3 linked regions of the Oryzias latipes genome follow. The protein of the gene in region 1 binds, or shares a complex with, the protein of each later gene. Links are inferred from orthologs where the notes say so. Each region holds a gene or a part of one and is shown in the gene's direction. Other genes may lie near its edges. The genes, in order: prpf3, prpf4 and lsm4.

Evidence for each region.
Region 2: prpf3 (region 1) and prpf4 share a complex: the UniProt entries of both Homo sapiens proteins name them as parts of the precatalytic spliceosome. The link is inferred for Oryzias latipes from reciprocal best matches to the Homo sapiens genes PRPF3 and PRPF4.
Region 3: prpf3 (region 1) and lsm4 share a complex: the UniProt entries of both Homo sapiens proteins name them as parts of the precatalytic spliceosome. The link is inferred for Oryzias latipes from reciprocal best matches to the Homo sapiens genes PRPF3 and LSM4.

The regions. Positions count from the first base shown.
Region 1 is NC_019874.2:18,953,125-18,960,156, forward strand, and holds the end of prpf3 (U4/U6 small nuclear ribonucleoprotein Prp3), read left to right. Parts: coding exon 1-34; intron 35-116; coding exon 117-304; intron 305-422; coding exon 423-589; intron 590-696; coding exon 697-779; intron 780-1,978; coding exon 1,979-2,122; intron 2,123-2,205; coding exon 2,206-2,305; intron 2,306-2,384; coding exon 2,385-2,498; intron 2,499-2,602; coding exon 2,603-2,721; intron 2,722-2,980; coding exon 2,981-3,058; intron 3,059-3,345; coding exon 3,346-3,398; intron 3,399-3,487; coding exon 3,488-3,637; 3' UTR 3,638-4,195; downstream 4,196-7,032. UniProt on the Homo sapiens protein: Plays a role in pre-mRNA splicing as component of the U4/U6-U5 tri-snRNP complex that is involved in spliceosome assembly, and as component of the precatalytic spliceosome (spliceosome B complex).
Region 2 is NC_019870.2:2,741-10,031, forward strand, and holds the start of prpf4 (U4/U6 small nuclear ribonucleoprotein Prp4), read left to right. Parts: upstream 1-2,654; 5' UTR 2,655-2,747; intron 2,748-6,799; 5' UTR 6,800-6,820; coding exon 6,821-6,977; intron 6,978-7,291. UniProt on the Homo sapiens protein: Plays a role in pre-mRNA splicing as component of the U4/U6-U5 tri-snRNP complex that is involved in spliceosome assembly, and as component of the precatalytic spliceosome (spliceosome B complex).
Region 3 is NC_019862.2:13,831,496-13,838,786, reverse strand, and holds lsm4 (U6 snRNA-associated Sm-like protein LSm4), read left to right. Parts: upstream 1-1,486; 5' UTR 1,487-1,606; coding exon 1,607-1,609; intron 1,610-2,035; coding exon 2,036-2,077; intron 2,078-2,317; coding exon 2,318-2,416; intron 2,417-4,108; coding exon 4,109-4,289; intron 4,290-4,477; coding exon 4,478-4,587; 3' UTR 4,588-5,204; downstream 5,205-7,291. UniProt on the Homo sapiens protein: Plays a role in pre-mRNA splicing as component of the U4/U6-U5 tri-snRNP complex that is involved in spliceosome assembly, and as component of the precatalytic spliceosome (spliceosome B complex).

The DNA.
Region 1 (7,032 bases):
GTTGAACTTACGCACCGCATGCCCACACTCAAAGGTAGGTCTTCTGGATCGGTGTGTAAATGTGTCTCATCATTACTGCGCTTTGACTTCATGGACCACTATTCCTTTTTTTGCAGCTAACATACGGGCGGTAAAGAGGGAACAGTTCCGTCAGCAACTGAAGGAGAAACCTAGTGATGATTTGGAGTCAACATCATACTTTGACAACCGTGTGCTCATTACGCCTGCCCAGCGCCTCCGCAGAGGCTTCAAATTTCATGAGCCCGGACGGTTTGAGAAGATTGCCCAGAGAGTTCGAACCAAGGTTGGTGAAAAGCTTGACATTATCATCTCAAGACCTTTGTTAATTATTCAGAAATACAATTTGGCAATTCAAAAACACCTTGTTTGATGCCTTTTGCATAAATGTCTTTGCCCATTAGGCCCAGTTGGAACGGCTTCAGAATGAGATTTCCCAGGCTGCTAAAAAGACAGGAATTCAGGCTTCCACCAAACTGGCATTGATTGCGCCTAGAAAGGAGATTGGAGATGGGGAAGTACCCAGTATTGAGTGGTGGGACTCCTTCATCTTGCCCTCCAACATAGTTTTGTAAGAAAAAAAACTTTAAAATGTTTTTGCAGTTTTTAAACCAATATGTTAACCTTATCTGTGCATTTCTTTTAGTTTGGTTAACTTTATTATTTTTTCCTATTTAGCAAACCGGAAACGAGGTTTGATAACGTGGAATTTTTTGGAGTAACAAACCTGGTAGAACACCCTACACAAATGAGACCTCCTGGTAAGTTTAGGTGGAAAAGAATGTGTTGAGAAATTACAGTTTCTGCCCTGTGATGTTGATAATAGACTGTTAACAGCTATTTGTCATGGATGTTTCGAGGATACGTCTTATATCCATAAGATTTTATGTGTGTTTTTCAGGAAAAAACAGGCAATTTATGAATTCCTTCACTATTCAGTGCATAGTTGTATTTATAGTTCGTTCGCCATTTTGCAGTGCTTTCAGAATCTACTATTTCAGAATCGAGTGCCCTAAATTTTTTTCCAGACGTCTCTGCAAAAAAACAGTGTGCATTGATGCTCACTAGATTGGCGAATATAGACCATAATGCATTGCGTTCGAACAATTTTGCGAAAAAAGTGTTTAGATGCATTTTTTTATAAATAAACAATCAATGTTTTCATTCTCAGTGGATTCATAAAAAGTCGTCATAAATTTAGATTTTCACTTCGTGAAATAGGTGATGTCATATTTGCTGTTTGCCTTTAAAGTCCAGGGCAATAGATTGTCCTGCACTATAAAGCTTTTTAATTGTAGTAATGAGGGAACTCTGACAAAGCCAGACAGAAAGCTTTACCGTAAAGTAAGTATCCTAGTCCAATAAACTTTTGAAAAGTGATTTGTTAACCACTAAATTAGAAAATTGTAGCTATATCTGATGAAATCCACTGTAACATGTCCTCAGCTAACATCCTGTTAGGCACCCCTTGCCAGACTTAATCCCAGTTTTGACTGTACAATATCTAAACTCTTCCTGTGGTCAAAACTGGTCTCTAAAGACATTTGTAAGGGATTTTTGTCTAAGTATTTTTTCTCTTTATCTGTAAACTTTAAAGTCTCAGACTGTTTTGAAGAACCATTCCAATTACCATTTTTCTGCCTCAGTGTCTTTAATGAATTTTTTTTATTATTGTGTGGAGGAACTTTTTTTTTGTCTTGAAATGGCAAACTTTGTATCAAGGAATGTTCCTGAGGAAACAAACATTTATTTATTATAGTAAATGCAGAGCAAAAAATTTGCCATCTCTAAGTTAAAAGTACACACATTTGTTTTTCTGTGTAATTTTTTTAATGCTTCTAGCTTCTTTCAAGGTTCTAGAATAAAATGTTTTATTTGACATGTTTGACAGAAAAAGCTCTGATTACATTCATTCCATTAATATTAGTTATATTCTTTACAACTGTTCTTCTTTTCCCAGTGGACACTGATAAACCAGTAACCCTGGGTGTGTATTTGACAAAGAAAGAACAGAAGAAACTAAGGAGACAAACGCGGAGGGAGGCACAAAAAGAATTGCAGGAAAAGGTCCGTCTTGGATTGATGCCACCACCGGAACCTAAAGGTACTTGCACACAAGTGAACATTGTTCTATGCCTGTAATCAGGTCAAGTAATGGTACATGATGATTTTTTTTGTACTTTTAAGTTCGTATCTCCAACTTGATGAGAGTCTTGGGGACGGAGGCGGTCCAGGACCCCACTAAAGTAGAGGCCCATGTGAGAGCACAGATGGCAAAAAGACAAAAGTAGGTGTTTTGTTACCGTGAGAATCCACAGAGACTCACATTTTTCTTAAGTGTTTTTCTAACAGCGACACTTTTTCAGAGCTCATGAGGAAGCCAATGCAGCTCGAAAGCTTTCAACAGAGCAAAGAAAAGAGAAGAAGGTCAAGAAGTTGAAAGAAGACCTCACTAACGGAGTTCACATTTCAGTGTACAGGTATGCATTTGAGGACGGGAACAGCAAATATATATATTTTTAAATATCTGTTTTCAAAGCTCTTTTTACACCTTGAAAACCAATATAAATGTTGTATCTTACAGAATCCGTAACCTGACAAATCCTGCAAAGAAGTTTAAGGTGGAGGCCAATGCAAACCAGCTGTACCTGACTGGAACAGTAGTTCTGCACAGAGATGTTAATCTTGTTGTTGTAGAGGGAGGTAAGGAAGAAATCTGTTTAAATTATATTGATGTCCTTTTATATTGATCTGCTGAAACTTAATAACACATTTATTGACATGTTTCAATTATTACTGTTTATATAGCCTTTCATTTACTGTTTAGAAGATTTCATTATAGAGAGAAAATACTGATTTTTTTTTTCAATTGAACCTCACTTGATCTGAACTGGGAAGAGAAAATGCCAGCAAATTCATATATGAAATGTAATAAAGAATCAATTGTCTCTTTCCCTTGAAGGCCCTAAATCCCAGAAAAAATTCAGGAAGTTGATGCTGCATAGAATCAAGTGGGAAGAACACAGTAGCAAAAGAGATGGTAAGATTACTGCTTTTGTATTGCTGCTATGGAAAAACGTCTTAATTGATTGCAAATTATAAAAAATAATAATCGCAAGTTTAAGAAATTATGTGTCTGAGATTTGCAGTTTATTTATACAGCTATGGGTAATTATCTTTTGTAGCTTTTAGTTTTCACCAACCACTGATAACGGTTCAAAAGTGGTTTATGTCAATTATCAGGACACAAGCTATTTCTACATACCGTACTATTGTTGGCTCAGTGTTTGCTTCAAATAAAATATGCTCACATTTTTCAAATCTTAGATCCAGATGTTGATGACACAAAGAGAAACAACAAGTGTTGGTTGATTTGGGAGGTGAGTGAACATGCATTTATTCTGTTTCCATTGCACATTTAGAACTTCTTTAGTCCATCCAAGTCTAATGGTTCCTTCTGCTTCCTTAGGGAACAGGTAAAGATCGAAGTTATGGAGAGATCAAGTTCAAGCAGTGTCCCACAGAGAGCATGGCCCGAGAACACTTCAAGAAGCACGGAACAGAACATTACTGGGACCTTGCCCTCAGCCATAGTGTGTTGGACGGCACCGATGATTGAAACCTTCGAGGGGAGAGATCTGTTTCAAATAAGGACTGCTACAGTCAAACCTGCAGACCTGCTGCCTCACAATAGCCAGAATTATCTATTGGCTGCTGAGGAGGAAGGAACAAAGACTCAATAAAGAGACTTCAACAGAAAATACGGGGCACATTAAACCTGTTTTTCTAAGAAAAAGTGAGCTCCTGTGTATACAAGGCAGTATATGTAGTTTTGCATTTAGTTGATTTCATTGGATGCAAGTCTGTCCTGTTTAGACCGACTGATTCCGACCTAAATCAGTCTGTTTCGGCTCATTTTCTGCTATAAAATCCTCAACTTAAATCATATTGTCTTTGTTGATTAGGAAGAATGTCCTAATGACAACACACTATCACTAAGTTGACCTTTTACTTTTTGAAGTTTATTTTTTGAAACCTTGCTTTTAGACACCTTTCACACAGTTACCGCATCATTTATTTTTTGACCCATCAGTGTGTTGACCCCCTATCCACAGAGGTTAGCCATGTTTCCTTGTAACATTTAAAACTGCCTTAATTAAAAAATGTGAAAAAAAGACTTCATCTTTGATTTTGTTTGCTAACCGCTTCAATTGCCTGGGTCATTTCATAAGTTTTTAGCCCAAATAAAAAAAAAAAATACCGAGTTAAAATATTGGTGTGTAGGTTGGTATTTTTATGGCATGAAGTTAATACATATGTAATGACTCGCGGGGGGCGTGGTCTCCCCTGCGTTGCCTTGTCTTCCATCACGCCTTCGCCCTCGTCCCTATCATTAGTTGATAGAGCTTGAAATATGGCGGCCGGTTCCGAGGCTGCGAGCGGCCAGGGAGCTCGCAGCTCCACCGCTGCATTGGAAGCGTCGTTGGACCGCCGGTTTCAGGCAGTGTCTAACACCATGGAGTCGATACAAGGACTCTCAAGCTGGTGCATTGAAAACAAGAAACATTACAGCCTTATTGTTCGCTATTGGATGAAGTGGCTAAAGAAATGTGAGTAGTTTCTCGCTGAAGCTAACTGCTAGCCTGTAGCCAGCATATTTAAGCTGAGTCAAATGCATTTAGGAAAGAATTTTGCAAAACCCTGCTGTGGTTCGGTTATGCTTTATGTGCAGAACCCCAAAACGGGGGTTGTGTAGAATAAAAATTGAGTTTCGCAATTGTATTGAGCCGAAGTGTTGGCGTCGTTGTCTTTGCAAATTAGCCGCTAATATTAGCTAAGCTAGCGATTCGTCGTTAACAGTGTTTACAGTTAGGCCTTCCATTATGTGAAGCCCGTATTGGATAATGGCTCCATCGTAATACCTACGTCGAAAATACATAATCAAAATAAAATAAAAAATAAGACTAGGTTTTAGTTAAATGACTTGAACTCAGGATTTTCAAGTACGTTTTTCGTCCATCAGTGACTGAGTGACAGTGCCCATTTCTGTTTAGCACAGATTAAACTTTTACATTTTTATGCAAAATGGGAATTATTTCTTCGATGGTAGTTTATGCAAAATAGGCCGCTGTCATGTATTTTAATATTTGTTTAGTATATTTTCTGTATCAGAATCAAAGAATTTACATTTCTGTTCACACTGTCTTGTCTTCTTGATACATGATGATAAAACGCTACTGCCAAATAATGAATCAAAAGTACTTGTAAAGTGAATAAAGACCCACTCCAATGAAAATAGTCTGATGGATATATATTTACATTTGTGAATCAGAAGTAGACGAAAAAAGTGCCATCTGAAAAAGCTTGTAATGTGACAGGTGCTACAATTGGCAGACCAGAAGCTCCCTGCTCTGCTCCATTCTAGTGCATCAACTCGTAAACAAATGGATCCATGTACATCTTCCTTTTCCTCATCTGAGCTAGCACGAGGCTCACAAATGTACGGCTAGATGTAGTATTTTTGTTGCACTGCTGTTAGGCGAGGGTTGTAAGCTAGCTGGAGTTAGTGTAAACAATGAAATCATGGGAAAGTCCGAGACAAATTTCTAATGACATACTGCTGCTCTGCAGAAACTATGTTCTAAAAAACTACAGGTTTTTTTGGATGGGCCAAAAAACGGAATAATCATAATTAAAAGAACACTGGGAACACTTTTTAAAATGGATCAAAAGACAATTTGACTTTAAAGTGGGACTTTAAAGTTATTTTTATTTATCTTTATGTGATTAAAGAACAGCAGCTGACCCAGAGGGAGAGATCCCAATCGAGAAAGCCCCGGAAATATAAATTAAAACGAGAATTAAAAAGTAAACGTACTTATAAAAGTAATAAACAAATGCAATAAAACGATGAAATAACGAATATTAAAAATAAATAATAAATAATCTAGTGTAAATTCATAAAATAAAATAGACGACTAAATACCAGATAGATAGATAGATAGATAGATAGATAGATAGATAGAAGAAATTTAAGTAGGGAAATTAGCTAAAAGCCAGGTTAAAAAGATGTGTGTTGAGCCTTTTTCAAAAGGAACTATGTTCTCTGCGGCTCTGAGACGCCATGGCAGACTGTTCCATAAATGGGGCCATAAATGGGGCCATAGTGCTGAAGAGATGTTCCTCCGTAGGTTTCAGTTTTTACAGTGGAAATGGTTTAAAGACCAGCACCAGAGGGTTCATATTTTACTAAAAGATACGATGGGTAAGAAGGCGCAAGACCATTAAGACATTTAAAAACTGTTAAAAATATCTTAAAATCAATCCTGAAGCATATGGGGAGCCAATGCAGGGATTTTAAAATTGGGGTGATGTGAGCCCGCCTCCTGCTCTTGGTGAGAACTCATGCAGCAGAATTCTGGAGAAGCTTAAGGTTCCTAATGTTGGTTTTTGGAAGACTAGCAAAGAAGGCGTTAAAATAATGACTTCTACTGACGATGATAGCATGCATTAGCAATATTAATATTAGCAAGAGAAAGTAGTGGGTGGACCCTAGCCAGATTTCTAAGATAATAAAAAACAGTTTTAACCACGTTTTATATGAGGGATAAAAGTTAGCTTAGAGTTGAAAATAATGCTCAGGTTTCTGACAGTATGATTTATCTGGGTATGAAGACAGTACTATAAAGGAAGCTGCTTCTTCTTTTCATGAAGGATATATGGTTTATATATCGTTTTTTGCACACACAAAAATGGTCATGTGAAAGTTGACAGCAAAAACAGTTATTTATTGATTAATGCTGTCGTTTTATTTATATACCTAGACCAATGTTGGCAAAATTGATTATATGAAAGTTTGCCTACAATACCCAAAATAGAAAAATAAACGTCATCTGTTTACACAGACTTTAACCTAAATAAAATACAGTGGCACTATCGTGCCATGACATTGTTTTGACTATGTTGGTGACATTGCAATGTTTGTGTTTGCAGCATGGCAAAGATGATTGATGA
Region 2 (7,291 bases), on another chromosome or scaffold:
ACCTGCGGCTAGTGTACCAGTGCCAGAGTGTACAGCAGGGGTCTCAAACTCACGGCCCGCGGGCTATTTGCGGCCCCCAAGATGATATTTTGGGGTCCCCGCCTTAATATGAAGGTTTAATGTTACTGCAGCCCGCCAGTTTGTATGAATGACACATTTTCATTGTCGTGCGCGGAGCTGACCAACCAATCACAGTGGGGTATACGACTCTTGGGGGCGTGACAATGACAGGGCTTGAAAGCAGGACACCTGACAGCCCCCTCCCCAGACCACATTAAGGAGTTCCTTACTGTCCTTTAGAACGGATTTATTCGCTCGTAATTTTCTAAATACATGCAGTCCGTGCTGAACTTTTCTCTGGGTCACACAGACCCGGAGGAAGGTTTAGGTTTTGGTTACGGTTACGGCGGCGCATCAAACGGTTTATGCACGGCTGTCAAGGCAGCTCACCGCTCCCGCGGGAGTCGGGTCAGCTGAGGAGAATAAATGTCCCACACCTACATGCGTGACAGCTAACGGGGCTTGAACTTTAAACACGCTCGAGCAAAAACAACATTAGTTTTAGACACACTGAAAATACGTGGGGAAAATGCAACGATAGACGTGTTTGAGATGAACATCGCCTGGATCGTTGGGGAGACCAGGCGGGGGGGGCTGTGAGATGAAGGCGAATCTGCAGCAAGACTGAAGGAGAACAGGAAATTGGAGTTGTCCTTAACATTCAATTTAGTTTTAATATTCTTCTCCCCCTTAGTATGATCTGTGTTATTATATATTTTATGATTATTTTAATATTTTGTGATGTATGTAGCCTTTTTTTAATGAATTGGTATTTTAAATTATTTTAATTAATCACTCCACTACAAAAACCATCAGGACACATGTCCCATAATGCATTATTTTGTAGTCATCTGGGCAGCTTTCAGTCAGTGCAGTACTAAATTTCCAGCTGCGTTCGCTCAGGTTGGGGCCTTGCTCCCGCCCCTTTCTCGTGATATTTTTGTTTTGATTGACAGTTGATGTTGGAGCAAAAACAAAAATATATGTCACACACCAGGTGATCTGCGCAGCGTTGAGTCCACCTGGGTGATCTCAAACATGCTTATTGTGCATCTTGGCTGCACCTATTTGGTGTCACAAAGATAAATTTCCCTCCGTTTTCTTTACTTATTTGTACTGTCATGACAGTGATGGTGCTGTCAGTTTACCTTCTTGTTGCATCTTCAAAAGTGCAGAATAAAATGTGACACTGAATTTGAAACAGCACATTGTAATTTCTGCATCTATTATTAAAGTATTTATTAGTAATACAGTGGAAATTAGTAGATTGGGTTAGAATGTTGATTTACGGTATGCGCCCCTAAATTTTCTGGTTGTGCCCCTAAAATTTTCAGTTGGGGGCCACAGTGCTCCCAGTGAAAAAAGTTAGTCTGGAGCCCTGTATATATATGCGTCACAAGGAAAATAGAAATAAGATCAGAAACTCGTGCGTTTACTTTGTCTGTTCTTTTCTCCAAGCAGAAACTCTCTTTTGCTGATGATGCAGCCGTGTTACTTTATTGATGGACGTATAATCTTCATACGCCGTCATTTAAATGTCCGAATCCGTCTTACTGAAGTACAGCTCTCTCTCTTTTTTTCTCCACACGTTTCCATGGTGACTCCAGAAATCGGCGATCCATTGAGAATGTTTTTATGTACCTGCTGTGCACGTGCATTAACCCAGGGTTACCAAGTGGAGCGTAATTATGCTAACTCATATCCGGTCTGTTGGAACCGACATACCCAGAGTAAGCAAGTTCAGGTGGATTTCAGCCAGAGTTCAGGGTTAAAGTCAGGGGAGTTTAAACATGACTTCTGGAATACCCCCCTGGTCTCTGTGGGGGTTTACTCAGGAACCTCTGGTTGGATCAGATCTTCAGACTCCCACAAAGAGGGGGTCAGAAGTCTACAGTGTTTGACCTCAAAGTCACAAGCTACTCCAAAATATCATTTTAAAGAACAAGCTCTGTTTCTTTTACATAAATTATGGGACACTAGAACTTAAGCTCATCTCTGGTTCTGTGGGTTTGGGCTATTCTGGAATTGAAGACGCCCTGTGACTACACCCAGCAATAAGAACCATACCATTTCTCCACTGAACCTCAGGTCTGAATCCAGCAGCCAAAACAGCGCCCCCTAGGGAGCAAAGTGGACGTACTTTGCTGATTATCTGACACACCTAACCACGAAACGTGAAAGGTTCTAGTTTGATGCTCCACTGGTTCCAGTTCAGTCAAAGGGTCTTAAAAGAATGAGGATGCTCTGGGTCACACGGATCAGTTTGTGTAAGGTTTTGGTTGACAACCACCTGTTTCTGTCATGACAGCCAGCTGTACAGAATCTCTGATTCGGAGGAAAGCCACGAGCTCTGCTCCGTCTGCAAGGAACCCAAGACCTGGAGATGAGCTCCGGACGTTTGACCTCCTTTCTGGACATCCATTCAGCAAATAAACAAACACCACGTGATCTGCAGTTTTACTTCTGGTTAGCAACAAATTAGGTTCGTCACGCGCTTTTACCAGTGAGCTTACCTTGAACGAGTGGGTAAAACGCGCGCTCGCGGAGCTCCACGACCTGTTGTTGAGACACAAGACGCGCGTATCCAGGTTTTTCCGGTGAACCGGAAGTAGTAGGTTGACCCGGAAGCGGTTACAGCACATATATCCGGATCATTTAGCGCGTGGAGGCAGCTTTGTCGGATTAAGGTGAGTTTACGAAAAAAGTAACGAAGCTGTAGCAGCAAAAACAGTTAAGGACTAGCACGCGCTCACAGCATCTAATTTATTCCTCCGCCGCACGCGCTTTCAATCAGCCACAGATTCCCCCGCGTGGATCGGAACCGGTTCCACTGCAGAAATTGGTTGGAGGTTCTAACTGTTGTGCAGCTTCGCCTGCAAAAAGGGTGATGGAGGGAAGAAATGTTCAGTGTTTAGTAGATGACGTCATTAGTACAGACTGAATGTCCGTTTGCCTCAAGAAACGCAAAACAAAGAAAAGACGTAAGAATAGGCTGGCATTTACGATAGGACAGGTATAAAACATCAAATTACCAAGGATAGAAGATTAAAACTACTGTCGACTAAAATGCTTCATCGTTTAAAAAGGCGACCGTACCAAAATCTCCAAATAGGGGAGGAGCATCTGAAAGAAACAGAGAAGTTCAGCCGGCTAACAAGGAATATTGTGTTTTTGTTTTTCATTTAACTTTATTTGTTTTTAATTAACTTTATTCATTTCGTAGACAAATGCAAACAAAGGGAGTCAAACGTACACATGTTAACATAAAATGATGGATTCCTAGAGAAGAAAATAATAGAATAACTGAATATGATAGAGCTTATTGATGCTAACAGATGTGAAGAATTTATGTCATGTTTACATTTTATTTCTAAGTATCACTTCGGGTTTGCTGTTGGGGACTTAGCTGAATATAGAATTTAGCAAAAAATTAATATTTTTATTAAAATATGAATCCTTTTTGTCCTGATTAAAATGATAGAAATCGAAAATAACATTCTCATAAGGGTGAAAATCAGTGCAGATCAAGTCAGTGATCGTCTTTTAGAGAAGGAGGCCAGGCGTCAATCGAGAGGGTCGGAGGGTCCTGTCCCGGGTAATTATGAAAAGCAGACCCGTTATGTACATTTTCAAGGCATCGTTTCAGATGATTTGAAACCACCAGGGGGGTATTCCAGAAAGCAGGTTATGCTAGCTCCCACGGTAAGTTTGAGGCTAAGGAAGTGGATAACCTCAGCTTTCTGTTCCAGAAATGGAGGTATGTTTCAGGGTAGGTCAAGTTGCCATAGCAACTCATGCTCTGAACATAACCTGGTCAGGAGCAGGTTTAGTTGAAGGTTAGTTTGTTTTTCAGAGATGTGAAGCAGCATGGCGTGTCCATTTGAAGATGATTTAGTGGATGAAGAAGCTCAGATAATACTTTTTCCACCATGAGAGGATGATAAGACCACATATGGATGTTGGAAAGAGAAACTTTATACTTTCATCTAACTTAATTATTTGCTTAAGTTAAGATGAATCTTTTTTGGAGTTCAGTCAGCTTAAAAATAACACGTAGTTATCAGACATTTATTTTACTTTCATTCAAATTGATTCAATGAAGTAGGTGTAACTTTGGTGCTGCTGTTAGATCTGCACCGCAAGGAATTGTGGGATACCATTCCCTTTGCCTGTCTGGACGGATTTGGGTTTAAGTGTGGGTTTTTGACCAAATGTGTTTAGTTTAGCTGTTTTACTGTGTTTTGTCTAGTTATTTTGTCCTGTTATGTTTAATTCTTTCTGCACCATGAGTGAGAGGGAGGAAGAGGCGGATGAGTTTATTTAGCACCACTAGTGCGCGTTTCCATGGTGACTCCAGAAATCGGCGGTCCATTGAGAATGTCTTTATGTACATGCCGTGCACGTGCATTTACCCAGGGTTACCAAGTGGAACGTAATTACGCTAACTCGTATCCGGACTTTTGGAACCGACATACCCAGAGTAAGCAAGTTCAGGTGGATTTCAGCCAGAGTTCAGGGTTAAAGTCAGGGGAGTTTAAACATGACTTCTGGAATACCCCCCAGGTGCAGAGATTGGGTTCACTTCTACTCTGTTGACGGCTACATTTTCTTCTGACCTGCGGGTTTACGACACAATTTCCAAACTCATCTCCAGAGTAAATATAAACATGTGAGCGGTGGAGGCGATGCGGCTCAATGGCTGCGGGCCGTTATCGTGTTGTGGGGATGGCTTTATAATAATAATTGTTATGAACATTCATCGTCTCCGCCTTGTTCTCACTGTCCACTTCTGTCTTGATTCACACTTGAGTTGCTCCTTTTTGGTCTCCTGAACAAAATCCGTAATAAACTGCATCTGGTCCAGAATTCCACTGCCCATATTGTCTCCAGAACTCCAACCTTTGATCACCCCCCCCCCCCCCCCTTCCTCCAGCAATTGCACTGGCGTCCAATTCAATTCAGACTCCTCCTCTTCCTCACCTTCAAATCCCTCCATAACCTGGCCCCTGTTTACCTCTGAGCTCCTCCAAGTTGACGCCTCCTCTCGTTTTCTCCGGTCCTCTTTTTTTCTCCAGCTTTCTCACATTGTTTTTTTATCCTATTTTTCTAAATGTATTTTTATTCTTGTTTTTACTGCTATGTACAGTGACCTTGTGTGTCAAGAAAGGCGTGTGTCATCAAATTATTATATGCAATTCTTAAGATGGAAAAATTGATATTAAAATATAAAAGGAAAAATTCTACTAAATTTGGTCAAAATTCATCAAATCCATTCAGAGCAGGCTTCTAATGAATTCCACTGTCTATTTGATGTCTGCATTTAATGTCTCCACCTTATACTTAAATTTAAGTGAAATGAAATTAAACCATTGGGTGTTTTTGCTGATATTTGTTCTCAGTCTGTTATGATATTTCAACTTATGGACAACAGAAGAAAACGTGTCAAGGATCCTCTGAAGTAGGCCTGCACAATATACCGCAAATTTATCGTTATCGCAACATTAAGCTGTGCAATATGCATACCGCAAAAGACGGCGAAAATCGCAATAAATGGTTACCTCAAATGTACAAAAACAAACTCATGGCAGCTTGAAATATTGAACACATGAAATGAATCCCTTTATGCATTTAACCAATCGGAAGGACCCGTTTATGTTGTTGATCAATCAGATGAGCCCTTATATGTTTGATGTTTGCCTCCTACGTCAACAAGGGTCATTTGGATTATAATTTTTAAACTGTTGTAGTGAAATGGAAATTATTTTTTGGTTGTTTTGCTATTTGTTTATATACCGCAAATTATATCGTTATCGCAATATTAATCACCAATATCGCATATCGCGAGTGTTCCTCATATCGTGCAGCCCTACTCTGAAGTACAGTAAACCCTTGTTTTTCGCGGGGGTTACGTTCCAAAAAGAACCCGTGATAGGCAAAACCGTGAAGTAGAAACCTTTATTTTTTTTACAATTATCATACAATTAAATCCTCTATTATACATTGAAAAGAAAGAACAAACCATTTTACAGGCTCAAGCATTTGTTTAACAAATAAAGGTACTTTAGAAACGTTTTTTTCAACAAATAACTTCTATACTGTTCTGTCAAATAAAATTTTAATCATCAATGTGAACAGAAGGCGTCAAATCGCGGAGATTAGCCCCGCCCACCGCGACCCGAGTAATTTGATTAAACGGGAGAAAATTTAAAATGGTTATGAAAAAAAATACAAAGTACAGTGGGACAAATAGTGACTCAGGTGTATTTCACTGCTCTTCAGTCTGAGCCGCTGCATCCTGATGGGTTTAAGAGAAACTCGAAATTGCAAGAGAATTTGCACGACGTAATGTTAATTTGGCAAGCTGTTGTAGGTATGTGGACATATTAAACTGCAACGTTATTGATGCACAGGTAGAGAAGAAGCGGAGTGACTTTTTGGCCAATCAGAATGCAGAACACAATGCACGATGCAAATCCGTGAAGTAGCGAAACCGTGAAAAGTAAACCGCGTTATAGCGAGGGATCACTGTACTTGTATAATGAATACTGTACAGCAGTTTTACACCAAATCCTTTGCAATTTAAAAATAGGACAAAAACAAATAAATGTTGATAAATTCTGTTTTGTAGGTTTGAATTTGTGGATACATTTGAATGAAACATCAAAAAGTTAATTTATACTATTTAGTCCAAAGTCTTTCACGCTTGTCTACATTCTTCATCGTCTCTTTTGTTCTGCAGCTGAGGAAGAGCAGCACGAAGATGTCAGACGAAGAAGATGCAGTTCCGGTTGCAAAGAAAAGCCGTGTTTTCTACGGAAGCCTGGAGGAGAAGGAACGTGAACGTCTGAGTCTGCAGGCTACAGGAAGTGATGCCGTGAGGGCGGGGATTAAGGCTGGAAACATCAACATTTCCTCAGGCAGGTCAACTGTTGAATCATCACTCTGTGACTTTGGTTTCTGTGGTGACCACGCCGCAGGGATCCTTCAGATTCAGGGTCCGTCGTTGTTCCTGTCAGCTTCGTCCCAGGCACAGACGCAAAAGACCGGCTCTTCGTTTTGTCCGACGAAAGCCGGACACAAACCACAACTAATAATTTCTGCTTCATCAACAATTTTGAATTCATCTTCCATGAATTAAAGGGACGATATCCATACATCACTCCCAAATCCAAGTCTCTGATTGGTCAAAGTACAAAAGGTGTAACTTTCAACCCGCCGTTAATGGCTGTCA
Region 3 (7,291 bases), on another chromosome or scaffold:
TGTACGCCGAAACAGATCCTCTTAAACAGCCGGAGACCCTCACAGCTGACGACTCCTTCTCCCACAATCAAAAGAAACCTGCCGTTCTCTCTCATCCTGCACGCTGCGTCAAACCCAACGTAATGACGCCATCAACGGAATGACGGCTACGGTGGCTGAGAAATGTCAACTTAGGGAAAAAACAAAAAGAAAAAATAAATAAATAAAAACTACACAAATATCCTATTTTAATACAACCAATTGTCTTGCCTGTGTTTTATCATAAAATAAGACTTTAATTAAGTACCAAGCTATAAATTAGTTGTTGCAAAAATTGCACCAGCAAAAATATGAACGTGTTGGTCAAATTATATAAGGATTCACGTAATTCAATTACATGAATCCATTTGGTAATGAAAAAAATTATTATTTTTTAAACCACTGTCACATTTATTTAGACTTTACCAAAACCAGACAGACCTTAATCATAAAATAGAATAGAACAGAATAGAATAGAATAGACTTATTTTATTGTCACTGTGTCACATGTACACGCAACAAAATTCCAGCTTTTCCTTTTTTATAATACAAGGAGTTGTGGCAGTGATCTATTCAATATTATTCTTCTCTTTCTTCTCTATTATCCTCATTTTATCATCATTATTTTTTTTAATTTTATTCTGTACTAATTTAAGGAATAAAAATGCATTTCACTGAAAATGAAGAAAAAATTACTGTATTATGTTTAGTCTAGACACTCATACCTAATGCGAACTAATCAGCAATGGTACAATCTGAAATTTGAGACACAGGATTTTGCTATAAGATATTATTAAGCGGTTTTATGCTTTGAAGGAAATGTTTGTGTATAGATAGATAGATAGATAGATAGATAGATAGATAGATAGATAGATAGATAGATAGATAGATAGATAGATAGATAGATAGATAGATAGATAGATAGATAGATAGATAGATAGATAGATAGATAGATAGATAGATAGATAGATAGATAGATGGATGGATGGATGGATGGATGGATGGATGGATGGATGGATGGATGGATGGATGGATGGATGGATGGATAGATAGATGGATGGATAGATAGATAGATAGATAGATAGATAGATAGATAGATAGATAGATAGATAGATAGATAGATAGATAGATAGATAGATAGATAGATAGATAGATAGATAGATAGATAGATAGATAGATAGATAGATAGATAGATAGATAGATAGATAGATAGATAGATAGATAGATAGATAGATAGATAGATAGATAGATAGATAGATAGATAGATAGATAGATAGATAGATAGATAGATAGATAGATGTTACACTTGGTCCTCTGTATTTATTTTTGAATTTCGTCACAGTAAAAGAACAAAAGAAAATGCTCCTGTGTTTGATAGATAGATGTTACACTTGGTCCTCTGTATTTATTTTTGAATTTCGTCACAGTAAAAGAACAAAAGAAAATGCTCCTGTGTTTGCGCATGTTTTGCGCTAGGGGGCAGTCATGTTTTAATAAGACGTGGCACCGAGTACGTAGAAAACGAAGAAGAGTCTGCGAGTAAAAATCGTGTTGCTAATCTAAGGCAGCACAAACATAACCTACCAGAATGGTAAGTTATTACTTACAAATGGACTATTTTGTAAAAATCACACACTATATAAAAATACTGACCTGTTCTTTGGCTTCAAAAATCCCATGTAACTGGTTTAAACATCGCAAATCAAGGCTAAGCTACGCTAGCAACCAATGCTAAATTGTTTTCTGCTTGTGGAACGCTGACTATACAAGTGGTTCTTTTTAAAATTATTTTCTATATAAATATATAAGGGGGGGGGGTCACCATTTCAGATACACGTTTAGTACTAAACTAAACACAAACGAATCATTATAGTTCGGAACAGAGCTTAAGTTTCTCCGCCGACACAGAAATACATTCAGACGTGTTCTTCATTTCTGAATCAATATTCCTTTTAGAATGCATTATTTTAATATATCATAGAGATCATAAATCGGACCCATTTCTACTATTTCGCAGCTTCCCTTGTCCCTTTTGAAGACGGCCCAGAACCATCCTATGGTAAGAAATAATTGCTTTTCTTTCCTCCTTCTATTCCTTATCTGGTGATTACTGGTTAAACCATTTTATTCAGTTACTTGTGGTTTTAAGATCAGGTTTTTTGTTTTGTTATTGAGATTGTTTGCATGTTTTTCTTTAAACAATAATTTTTGTGCATTTCTTTTTGAATAAAGAAAGAACCTTTTAGAAAACCATAATCACCAGCTGACCTTTTTTTCAATGAACTTTGATTTTTTTCAGCTGGTTGAACTGAAGAATGGAGAAACCTACAACGGTCATCTGGTTAGCTGTGACAACTGGATGAACATCAACTTGAGAGAAGTCATCTGCACATCCAGGGTAACAGATTTGCTCTCATGTTCTCAGTGGAGAACGATCCATAAACTGCACACCTTAAATAAAAAAAATTAGCTTAAATTTAACAGTCGCTTACCTGTTTCCTTCAGTTTTCATTCTGACTACCTTAGCCGTTTAAAGACCCACCCCAATTAAAATAGTGTATTTGTTTGGTTTGGTTTTTAACATGTTTTGTGGCATTTTTCTCATAATGACGGACATATATAAAGAAAGTTTGTAGGCAATTAGATCCATTTACGTCTTGGTTTTCCTCGTCTGAGCTGGCATCTGGCTTTAAACTGTACGTCTGTATAGCTTCAACATTCCCCACCAATTTTCTTGCACTTGGTGTTAGATTGGGGGTATGAGGGTGTGTAAGCTAGCAGGAGAGTGGAAACAAAGGGACCTTGGAAAATGCGGCAGGCTTTTTTAGGTATATTTCTAATGAACTTCTGTCACTCTGCAGAAACTGTCCTAGAAAACAAGACAAGTTTTTCATTTTGGCTTAAAGCTGCATAATGAAAAAAAACAAAATCAAAATACTGGGAATAGATCAAAAGATAATTGAAGTGAGCCTTTAAAATATAAAGACTAATGTATAATGAAGCAATGGTTTTAGTAAAACATCCTTTGATACATGTTGGAACAAAAACCTCAACGCTAATTTTTTTTGTTAGAAGAAAAAGGACTGATTATTGTTAAAGGCCCTGTACCATGCTATTCCTAAACCATTCATGGTAAAGAATATCCATATATATATTACCTTTGGCCCACAAAAGAAAGATTTTTTAAATTAAATATTAGTTACGTGGCGCAGTGGTTAGCGCAAGATCCCCCAGCCAAGTTTTGGGGACTTGGTTGCTGTTGGTCCCCCAGCCAACTGCAAGCCCAGCCAGGTCCAAGACTTGGCTGGGGGACCTGAAAAAGAACCTGTCTGTGTGGAGTTTGCATGTTCTCCCCGTGCATACGTGGGTTTTCTCCGGGGACTCCCACCTTCGTAGGTTAATTGGTTACCTTAAATTGTCCATAAGTGTGAATGCAAGTGTGCATGGGTGAGTGATTTGTGGACCTGTGACAGACTGGTGTCCTGTCCAGGAAGCCCCCTGCCTTCACCCATGAGTAGCTGGGATAGGCCCCGGCAGCCCAGTGACCCCAAAAGGGACAAAGCGGGTTTAGAAGATGAATTAAAAAATGATGAATGAATATTAGTTATTTTCCTGAGTTATTTTCCAACCTGGAAGCAAGACGACTGGATCTGAGGCACCGGCACTTCCATGATGTCAACCTATAGCCAGCATCAACAACATGTCTGTGTCTCGCCCACGAAACAAACAACATTCAAACTTTCGTAAAGATGAATGTGCATATTGAGCATGTAAAGAGAGTTTTGCCAAACACCACTAGCTTCATGGAGTGTGTGTTTTAGCCTGGGGGCGGGGCTGGCAGCGCAGACTCTTCCTGGAAGGGGCTGTTCTCACTTATCTACATCAGCTCGTGAGAACCCGCTTGTTTTTGTGGGTTAGGTGTGGCTGGTTCCTGGAGCACAGGTTTTTAGAGGAATTCTCAGAAATGCGTGAATGGGTCAATACTGGTTTGAGGTTTCTTTATAATACACCGGGAAGTTCAAAAAAGGGATTTAGCATAGACCCTTTGAAGTATACTGGTTACACTCATCGTTTGGTCTTTTTCCCACAGGATGGTGATAAGTTTTGGAGGATGCCAGAGTGCTACATCAGGGGAAGTACCATCAAGTATCTGCGAATTCCAGATGAGATTATTGACATGGTGAAGGATGAGGTGGTTTCTAAGGGTCGTGGACGTGGAGGTGCCCAGCAGAATAAGCAGCAGGGTAAAGGAAGAGGCGGAGCCGGCCGAGGTGAGAGGAAGCAACTTCTGCATTTGTTCTGTCATGATTTGCCTTAATGAGACTTAGATCAGCTTAAAATAAGTAAAAAATCCCTCTGTTAAAGCTTTTAAACACATCTGGTGAAACATCATCTTTATTTGTTTAGGAATTTATTATTCTAACTTGCTGAATTTGACATTTTTTGTGTCTGTATGTAGGTGTGTTTGGCAGCCGCGGCAGAGGGATGTCAGGTCCTGGTCGAGGCCAGCAGCCACAGCAGCCGGATAAAAAACCAAGCAAACAGCAGGGAATGAAGAACCAGCACTGATGTGATGTCATGGATCTTTCACATCACATTAACTGTTATTTTTGTTTCAGTACTTGTGGATAATTTAACTCTCAGCTCCTTTTTTTGCTGATATGTGATATGTAAGAGAACCAATCGCTGCAAAAGGTCACTGAGATGTTCAAAAGAGGCAGTGGTTTTGCACTGAGTTTTCTTTTTAGGTTTTTAAGAATAACCATGTTTGTGTAAAACCCAAGAGCTGATACTTTTTCTTTTTTTCTTTTCTTTCAAGAAGAATATTTTGTCATGAAAACCCCTTTTTAGTCACAAAAGTAATCTGTTGGTACAATTGGAAGTGTCAAATTGTTTATATTTGGATGTCTTTTTCTTTAGGGGTAGATTTCATGATAGACAATATTCCAGCCCCAGAATTCTCTTCATTTCTATTCTAGTTGTTGAGTGACATGGTTGGTGTGGGTTTGTTTCTGTCTTTCACTCCTCATTAGCCAATCTAAGCTGATAGTCAGCTGACATCCAGTCACAGATAAGTGACACGATTTGACCATAAGAATTTTTGTTTGAAAAACTCTTTATTTTTATAGTGATGAATATTATTGTAATGACATGAGAAACAATAAAGCAGTTTTTGTTAAAGACCATGTATGTATAAAATAGTCTTCATTTTTAGGGAACTGCCCCAAAAGTTTGTTACACCTGAAACTTTTTGTTTAAAGATCAGTTTGAAGAAATGAAGCACTGAAATTGTTATAGTAAAATTACTATTTGATTGCAGAGTGTAAAGACCTCTGTTCCTGTTTAGCATGTCCTGTATCCTATTTAAAGCATCAACACAAGTTCAGGCTCATGAAAAGAAAATATTTGGAATTAGCTGCTGTTTTGCTTGATTTTTAAGATAAAGATTTAAAGCTTTTTTATTTTTTTACAATCAAGAACATTTTCATTTTGGAGAGTTAAGACCACAAGTTAAATATGATACACACATTTTGTTACATAAATTTAATAACTGATAGATTTATGATTCAAATAAATGGCTGAGATTTATTTTAGTCTTCCCTATTACTTGCAAGCTAATTTAAGAAATTCTGACATTTAGTTTTCCTTGCGAAAAATTGGGCTTTGAAATTATGCATGATCATGCAGAAAAAGTACTATAATTAAAATCTGTAAAACTTAAAATGGTGCAATTTTAAGGTGGAGAAATATCTAAAGAGGTGGAGGTTTACTCTGGAGAGAAGAAGAATGAAGGTCAACCACCACAAGACAGACCATCTGTGTAAATGAGAAGAAACGAAGTAGAATATTAAGGTTACCAGGCACAGGCGGAGAAGGTGGTGGACTTTAAATTCTTAGTGAAAGGTTCAGAACAACATTTTTCAAGATAGTGGGAGAGATGAAGACGTGTGTCCAAGCAGGTTGGAACAAAAAGAGGAAAGTCCCAGGTGTGAAGTGTGGGGAAAAAAATGTCAGTCAAGACAGCAGGTGAGAGCAGTTGGTGGTGGTGTAGAGATGGTGTCTCTGAGAGAGAGACAGGAGGCAGAGCTAGAGATGTTGAGGTTTTCCTTAGGAGTGACGAGGATCAGGAATGAATTCATCAGAGGAACAGCTCATGTTCTGGAGATAAGAAGGGAAATAGATTGAGACGGTTTGGACACATTGAGAGGAAGGACTGATAATATTGATAAAAGGAGGCTGAAGTTGGAGCGGATAAAGTGGATAAAGGTGAAGAGGATTTAATGTAATCCATGGACACTAGTGAAGATCACAAATCATTGAAAAAAAAAGATTTAGCGCGCTGTCTTGTGGGGTCTAGATGACCCCCTCCCAATGTTAACGTGCCTAGGATGGCACAAGGGTTAGATGGAGGTTGGAGTTGAGACACGACAGCTTTAAGCTGTGGCCACTAGAGGGCAGCATTAGCTGGTGCACAGTTGAGTGTTTTTTCTTCTTTTTCATTTTCATTGTCCATTAAATAAAATGCTTTAATAAAGATTTTGCATGGCAGACATTTTGATATGTGACAGCTGAAAATGGGGATTTAATGGTGATTGCACCCAACTATAAGAAAAATCCAACAGCTCTATTTAAACTGCAGCTGCAATTTAGTGCATTTGATCTTTTTTCTATGTAATTTAGTACACATAATAGAAGTAAACAGGTACCAAAGATCCTCACGTGTACCTCTTTAGTCATTGAAAGGGAGTTAGGACTTAAAAGCCTCAAATTTGACAGTGAATTCTTAAAGCAAAAGCATCTTTTAAAAAAATCAATGGAAACTAGGTTGACCAACTAAATAAAATGTATAAATTAAAATCAAATGTTCAATAAATGTGCTCAATAATTATCTCCCACAAGACATACATTCAAATTCAAGTTATCAAATAGGGACATGTATTTTCAACTAAATTGCTTCAAAAAGCATGTTATAGGGTGTATATCATGTTTGCAGGCATCTTCTAATTAACTATGCAATCTGACTGTGAGTCTTTATGCGCTGCAGTGTTGTGGATAATCTCAGTGCCGAGTTTTCCTTCTCTTTACCGCCCACTCTATGTGAACAGGCTACTGCTGCTGGTAGCCAATCGGCACCTATCTTCCTTTCTGCTGCTCCTACCTGCGTCACTCTGCTTGTGTTGCCACGGTGATCGCTGATGCTCCCCCATCCGCACACTTTCTGTCTCTTCTCTAGCGAGGTATGAGGATGAAGCCGACTCTTGGCCGGTGATGC